Linked DNA regions of Ovis aries. The protein of the gene in region 1 interacts with the protein of each later gene in a pairwise test. Links are inferred from orthologs where the notes say so. Each region holds a gene or a part of one and is shown in the gene's direction. Other genes may lie near its edges.

Region 1 (4,057 bases):
CTGTATGGGATTCTGCAGGAACTTCTGGGAACGTAAGCTCAACAACTTTTCACTGCAGAAAAGCTTTTGTCATGGCTGCTTTTGATACTATAATAAAAGGCACGAATCTTTTCCTCATAAACACATCTGGCATATAGACCTCCTAAATTCATGGGGAGGGCCCAGTGTAGAGGTTGTTAGCATTTACCGTGACAAAGGTGAAATGCCTGCAGACATAGCTTGGGAGATCTTTGCTATTACTACTGATTATTTCATCTGTCCTTCGTCCACGTTGGTTTTATGTATTTTTCGTAGCTTGGAGAAGTAAACATTTCTCTTGTGAACTTATTCAAGCTAATTTCAAGCTTCTCCAAGAGGCCCAAACTATTAAAGGAATCTGCAATAAGACAAAATAACACAGGAAACCTTAATAATGTATGGAAGGGAAGACCCGAGGCCAGAAACCACTCCAAGCACAGTAAGCTTCTAGAAAAGCCACCTCTACAGACAACTCCAGTGATTATATCACAGCTTATAAAGTAGCATCTTTAGAGTTGAGAGAATGGAGCTGGAGAGACCTAAAAGGCCAATTAATTCAACAAGTCAAAATTAAGGTGGCATGTCTCGAGTTTGTTTGAAAACAATGAAACACCTGGCTTAGGTCGGCAATGAGATAACAAACCGCAAAACAACAAGCGCGCAAATCCGGCAGCTCTAAAGCCTGAAAATAACCACAAAGAATAAGTAACGACGGGTTAAGCCAAACCAGCGCATTTCTTTGAAACAAGTCATTAAAGTAGCCTCTGCGTGTGAGGAGGGGCTCTGCGGCCCTGAGGCTCTTTCTTGGGCTGTCGGCTCCGGTTGTCCCAGTTTGGACGTGCAGTGGCCACATGGCTCCCGGGCCCATCTCTCCCTCTGAGCCCCAGGAGAGTCAAGTTAGCGACAGGGCTCCCCGGCCGGGGACTGCCACTCAACCCTCCACCCCTTGTACTGGTTCGCAGCCCCTGCACAAAGCTCAGTTGCGACCCCAAAGCCCCGGTTCTTACCATAGTGAGGCCGGCGGAGCCCCAGCCACATCACCCTTCCGGGCCCAGGGCGGAAGAGGCGTGCACGGCCGGCTTGCCTTTCTCTTCCCTTTCCGCGGTTTGGTTGGGCCTGTCAGGGTACCTCCTCCTGAGGCGCGGGTCTCGGGCTCTACGATAGGCTCCTCTCTTCCGGAAAGGACGGGACTTAAATGACGTCATTCAGCCCCCGCGGAAGTAGGTAACACTCTCATTGGGTGCTGGATGTCCGCCTGTGGGAGCGGGCCTTTCGGAGGAGGCCGGAAGTGGAATTACTAACAGGTAGGGTCCGGAAGTGGCGACTGACTTTTAATAGTAGTCGGCGATCCAGTTATTATTATTTTTATTTTTCTTTACTTCTCTAGAACTCCTCCGCGCTCAATTTTTTTCCGGCTTAGACTCCCCTCGATGTGTAAGCTTCTGGCCCTTCTGTTTGTAAACACTGGGGAGCACCTGAGTTCTCTGGCGTTACCCTCATGTCGTGCATCGCCTGGGCTCCCTTTTCAGTTTCTCCCTTTGCACCTGCGGGATTCTTTGTGTAAAGCGCCTTTGAAATGCCCTGTAAAGCTGTGGGATTAGGACACTTGAATTCAGGGGGTTGTGTTGAGAAGGTGTTTGATCAGTTTTCTAACATTGGCATTCTCGCTTTTAATTCTCAGCGTTTTGTAGATTGTCAGTGGGTTCGATCTGAGGCTGAAAGGTGCCCGTTGCAGTCAGGAAAGAACTTTCTGTGGGAACAAATGGAAAGGAGCTGCCTTTCCTGAGTTCAGTAATTGATTAGGTGCTTTAGAGAAATGGTCCACCTGCAAGACATATACCAACTTTTTCTTTTAATCAGTATTATTATTTAACTTTCTCTAATTTTAACAATCCCATTAGATAGGTTCTATTCCTTCTCCCCAGATTCTTTTTAGAATATTATCAGTTTTTTAATACTTTGACTCAAAGTGGATTGAGAGAAACAGGAAAGGAAGTTCATATAATGCATTGATTTATGTGCTGTTCTTGGCCAAACTATGAGACCTTTCTATATTTAGGGCAACACAGTGATTACAATATTTGGGTTTCTACTATCTGTGATTGTATTGTTGGCTACTGCCCACCAAGTTTTTTTCTTTTCTTTTTTCTTTTTTTTTAAACCATTACTAACTTTTTGTTTGAATCTACTGAATTGTCAAGAATTGGTTAAGTACACAAATTTAGCAAGTACTTAACTGAGCTTTTATTCATACCATCATGAGATTGCTGCAGAGGGATAAAGATGGCCTGTTCCTTCCAGAAATTTTATGGGCATGGGGAAGAGGGGAATAAGAAATGTATAAAAATATACTGTAACCTTGTCCTATCAAAAAAACAAGCTGTAATGCTTTGTCTTGTGATTGCTTTACAATATATTTTTAAAGTCTTAACCATTCAAATTAAATAATCTTGGCTTGGTTATGGAAATTATGTTGTGCAACTCATCAAGCTTGGTTTCCAAAGTAGTAAATGTGTCTGCAAACATCTTGCTGTCATGTAGATTGTCTTCATTTACATGGACACTTGAGGGTTATATGTGATAGCTGAAGTGCACCAGGAAATTGAAGTTGTTAAAAATCACAGTTGATTTACTGTATTTATGAATTTTAATTAATTTTAGACCATGGGCTCTTATGTACTTCAGCTTCAAAATAGGGAAGAACAATGCCAGTTATTTTAAAGTTACCCATAGAGGAAGCCAAATAGCAATAGATAAGACTGAACATACATTTATATATAAAGTTTTTCATGTAACACAACAAAGTTAATCTGACACGATCTCTTGGCAAGATCTCTAAGAAGGTGGTAATTGAGATATATGGTCATTAAGCACATGAACTCCCTACTCTTGGCTTCACTGCCAGTGAACTAATTTAAGCACTGTCTTACATTGCTATATCAAAAATCTCTTTTCTAGCAGCTCTGGTATGGAATCTTATTTCAGACTATCTTGGATCATTTTCATACACACTAAAAGTGAAATCTGGTTCTTGTAATTTCCTTCTTCAAAAATTATTGCCTCTCCTGCATCTAGAAGAGTATTTTCAACTTTGATTTCTTAGGTTCAGTAAGAAATACTATTATACTTTATATACTTTACATACTGTTATATGTAAAAATAGTACATATTTATGTTTTTCTGTGCAAAGAAGGCATGGACCTCCCTAGTATTGTCAGGTATTTGACCTGCACAAAGCGCTCAATGGGGCTTCCCTGGTGGCTCAGAGGTTAAAGCGTCTGCCTCCAATGCGGGAGACCTGGGTTCGATCCCTGGGTTGGGAAGATCCCCTGGAGAAGGAAATGGTAACCCACTCCAGTATTTTTGCCTGGAGAAGCCTGGTAGGCTACAGTCCATGGGGTCGCAGAGTCGGACACAACTGAGCAACTTCACTTCACTTCTTCACTTCATTTCAAGCACTCAATGGAGAAGGCAATGGCACCCCACTCCAGTACTCTTGCCTGGAAAATCCCATGGACAGAGGAGCCTGGTAGGCTGCAATCCATGGGGTCCCAAAGAGTTGGACAGGACTGAGCGACTTCACTTTCACTTTTCACTTTCATGCGTTGGAGAGAAAATGGCAACCCACTCCAGTATTCTTGCCTGGAGAACCCCAGGGACAGAGGAGCCTGGTAGGCTGCAGTCCATGGGGTCCCAAAGAGTTGGACAGGACTGAGCGACTTCACTTTCACTTTTCACTTTCATGCGTTGGAGAGAAAATGACAACCCACTCCAGTGTTCTTGCCTGGAGAACCCCAGGGACAGAGGAGCCTGGTGGGCTCCCATCTATGGGATCGCACAGAGTCAGACACGACTGAAGCGACTTAGCAGCAGCAGCAGCAGCAGCAGCAGCAAGCACTCAATGGGCTTCCCTGGTAGCTCATCTGGTAAAGAATCTGCCTGCAGCGTAGGAGACCCTGGTTTGATTCCTGGGTCAGGAAGATCCCCTGAAGAAGGGATATTCTCCAATATTCTTAGGCTTCCTTGGTGGCCGAGCTGG
Region 2 (4,186 bases), on another chromosome or scaffold:
TTGTACTTCCTTTTATAGCGAGGGGTGTTGGTGCAGGAGGGGTTTCAGATACAGCTAATACTTCATTTATCTTAGCTAATGACAAATTTCCCTTTCTACATGTGCTACTCACCTATATGTTTCTAAACCTGCCAAGACCACAGATGCTCCCGTTCATTTGGTTATGATCCAAGTTGGCTACAGTGGTCAGAATTTTAATGTCTGAGTTCAACAGAGGATTTCCTCTTGAGAGTTTAGGGAAGTAAGAAAGCAAACTGCAAAAAATAAGTTCATAAGTCAAGTTTTTGCACTTCCACCCTCTGCTGCTGCTAAGTCACTTCAGTCGTTTCCGACTCTGTGCAACCCTATAGACTGTAGCCCACCAGGCTCCCCCGTCCCTGGGATTCTCCAGGCAAGAACACTGGAGTGGGTTGCCATTTCCTTCTCCAATGCTTAGCCCTCATCAATATAAACTAAAGCCAAACTACTCTATTCTTGAAAAGAATATCATACTAGGAGAAAGTTACTGTGCATTTAAACGCACATTTGTTATTTTTCCTAAGATTTCACTGGAGATAAAATACGTCCTCCTGTTACAATTATTCCACACGAGGCAGATGAAAGCATTTGGATTTAACAGATGGGGGTGCCTAAACCCCACTAGGCATTTTTCTTCTTCCAAGTCCCATTTTGCCTGGATGTTTAGAAACCTATCCTCTTCTTTCTAAACCAAACTTTGCTAAATTACCTAACTAGGTGACAGGTCACCCCTCTTTCAGGTGTCACTCGGAGGGAGGAATAGTAAAGCAGGGCAGACGCCCGGCTCTCGGGGTGCCTCCACCCCAGGCAGACACTGCAGGCCGGAAGGAATGACCCCACGTCCCATCTGAACCACCCTCCTGGCATGCCCGGCGCCGACAGCAGCTGTCGGAGTCCAAATACCTGGGCATTGACAGGTAAACAATAACAACTGTCAGCACCGACTGTCACCACAGCTCCGGTCGGCCAAGCAGAGGCTGTGCGAGCGCCAGGGCCGAGCCCCGGATCACGCCTGCCAGACCTCAGCGTAAACGGAAGACCCCCTCCTACCTACTTGGCAGCTGCTACCTCTCGATCCGCGATTTAAATTGTCCAGAATTCGAATCCTTCCCTCTAGTCCCCTTCTTCCCACCCACTCTAGCCCCGCCTTGCTGACTCGGATTTCGCACAGGCGCAGAGAGGGGCGCGCATTGCCTCTTGGGATTGGTAGTTTTCCCAGGGCGCCTGAGATCGTCAGTGGAGGAGAAGGGAAGACGTCTTGACTACAAGGACCGGCGTCCTCCGAGCCGGGTGGGCGGTGAGAAGGGCTGGGGTCGCGGGGTTGGGTAACCGGGGCTTTTAAAAAACAGATTGGAGGCGGAGTGAAAGGGGATTCCCTGAGTACGTCACTGGCCGGAGTGGAAGGGCGGGGTTCGGTCCCCTCGGTGGGGCCCCAGCTCCGCGCAGCCGGGGCACTCTTGAGGGCAGTCTTTGCTTTACCTCCGCTTGTCTTTCTTGGGGCCTCTCTGCGTCCCGCGCCTGTCGTTGGAAGCCGGAAACGGTTGCAGGGTCTCGCTCCTTGCGAAGGGGTCTATTTAATCCTCGCCGCCATGTCCGGGGGCTTCGAGCTGCAGCCGCAGGACGGCGGCCCCCGGGTGGCCCTGGCGCCCGGGGAGACGGTCATCGGCCGCGGGCCGCTTCTGGGAGTAAGTGTGGCGGGGGTTCGGCGGCCCCGGAGAACCGCGAGGTCCTGCGGGCTCCTGAGGCCCTACTCTGGGTCCTGCCCGGGTTCCCCACCGCTCCGGCCAGGCCTTTCTGGATTTTAGAAGTTTGAAGGCAGCACGCTTTTCAGTCAACTTGAACTAACTCGCAGACGTTTCCTTCTGCTGCCTTTAACAAGCACTGACCTGGATTATCGTCATTAGTGTTTTACCCAGAGGTCGGCGAACTGTGGCCCTGGCTCCAAATCCAGCCTGCAATTGTTGGGACCCACGTACTAAGAATGCTTCTCAGATTTTAAAACGTAAACAAAAAAACCCATATTAGCCTTTCAGGGAGAAGAATTTCTCTAAGGGTTGGAAATATTGCCTGTTGGCTTGATAAGCCACGATATTCATAGTAGTTTCTGGCCCTTAACAGAAAAAGTCTGCCAACCTCTGATCTTAGTTTTTCTAGAATAATTTCTTTTAAGCTTTGGCTCCTCTGGTGGTACTACTTTGGCTTTACTTTTATTGTAATAATCTTTTTCAGTAACGTCAGTGACTCACGTTTATGTAGTGTGTAGAATTCGGGCATTGATCTAAAGACTACCTGTACCAGCTTCTTTAAACCTTTCCAGACTTTTTGAGTTAGGTGCTTTTATCTTCATTGTTCAAATGAGAAAATTGAGCGAGTTATTTAAAGGACACACACACAAGATTTTGGGTAACAGAGTGCAACTGAGTTATGTATTCTTTCTCTGAGGTGTTTAGGAGTTAGAAAACTTGCCTGTAACATTCTGGAAATTTGTAGATCTCTCATTAAATACATACATATTGTTTTCTCTACATTCAACGTGTCTTGTTTACTGGCCACTTTATGCTGCGAGTCTGCAGACCCTAGCACTGCGGGGCACACAGAGATAAAACGGGTACTTGCCCTTCAGTTTTCTCTTTGAATGTCTGAACAAAGCTGTGTCAGTGAGCCTACACCAGGGAGTAAGGAGTCTGGTCAATTACTCTGATTAACTGCCAGTGTCTAAATGGAACCATTTGTATTAGGCTTAGGACCCCTCTCTGAGCAGAAAAAGGAAAGGTGGTTCAAGGTGGTGTTGGGGAAATTAGTTTTAGAGGAGTGTGAGTGTATGTATATGTAGTGGGGTTATTGAGAAACTTCAAGTTTACTTGCTGTTTTTTTTTTTTTTATTACTTAAATGTGTCTTACTTTTCTCCATAGTCTATTATATACAACGGAGAAGGCAATGGCACCCCACTCCAGTACTTTTGCCTGGCAAATCCCATAGATGGAGGAGCCTGGTGGGCTGCAGGTCGCTGAGAGTCGGGGCACGTCCGAGCGACTTTACTTTCACTTTTCACTTTCATGCATTGGAGAAGGAAATGGCAACCCACTCCAGTATTCTTGCCTGAAGAATCCCAGGGACGGAGGAGCCTAGTGGGCTGCCGTCTCTGGGATCGCACAGAGTGGAACACGACTGAATCGACTTAGCAGCAGCATTATATACAAACCTTTGGAGGAACTGCTTGGGAGGTTTTCTCCCCCTTTTCCTTCCTTTCTTACTCCCCTTCGTCCTTTCCTCTCCTCCTTCCCCCTCTATTCCTAATTCTCTCTCCCTCCCTACTCTCTCTCTCATTTCATCTCAATTAGAAATAGAGTATCTGCTTCATCTAGAAATCTTATGTCTGGTTACTAATGAGTTTTAATTTACTTAACAAATCGTGTAACTAACGTAGAGTACTATGAATTGGGTTAAATGATGGGTGAATTTTAGGCCTCTGTTTTATAAATTTGGCACCAGGTCACAGACCCTTCATTATTTGTAGCTTGCTGTTTGTTAATAGGTTTGCTAATGTGAGACAAGCTTATTTGGTTTCTGTTTTTAAAAATGGTAAGGAATAGGAAGTCAGTTACCTGGTCAGGATTAAGCTTTTTCTCTTTGAATAGTCATTCGATGATGAGATTTTGTTGCCAAGTTTGATGGGTATTAGAAGTGAATGAAACTAGATGTGTTGAAGGAAAACTTTGAAGAATAAACGAATCACCTTGTGGTTTTCAAGATTTTGGAGCTGACAGGTGTTTCTTCTCTACAGTGGTTTAAAACTCCACATGAGGGCTGCAGTTTCAAACAACAGCAATTCCAGTGAGGGTTTTTTTTTTTTTTTTTTTCCCTTCATGGTATATGAGAGAGCACAGACATAGTTCTAAGTCAGAAAACTCAGGGAGTTTAATTCATATCTATCAGAAGTGATTAATAATAATCAGGATGATTATTTTTACTCTCTTAATTAGTCATGTCTTTTGGAAACAAATTTTACAAACCTTCATGGTCACAACCTTTATGTTTATAATTCCAATGTGTTAAACATTCTCTGTGGTAAAATAATTTGGCAGTGGGAATGTCTTCATGTTTTTACAGAGGGGGGAAAGCTTAGAACTCTTGTAGATAATAGAATACAGTGAAAATCAATTTCTC

What was found. The genes of interacting proteins can lie anywhere in the genome.
Region 2: the proteins of XRCC4 (region 1) and APLF interact in binary tests that used the Homo sapiens proteins (3 or more experiments, as listed by UniProt). The link is inferred for Ovis aries from reciprocal best matches to the Homo sapiens genes XRCC4 and APLF.

The regions. Positions count from the first base shown.
Region 1 is NC_056058.1:80,503,223-80,507,279, forward strand, and holds the start of XRCC4 (DNA repair protein XRCC4), read left to right. Parts: upstream 1-1,253; 5' UTR 1,254-1,322; intron 1,323-4,057. Other genes in the region: TMEM167A (protein kish-A), read right to left, coding at 1,026-1,028.
Region 2 is NC_056056.1:39,874,389-39,878,574, reverse strand, and holds the start of APLF (aprataxin and PNK-like factor), read left to right. Parts: upstream 1-1,386; 5' UTR 1,387-1,607; coding exon 1,608-1,703; exon of another isoform or gene 1,704-2,020; intron 2,021-4,186. UniProt on the Homo sapiens protein: Histone chaperone involved in single-strand and double-strand DNA break repair.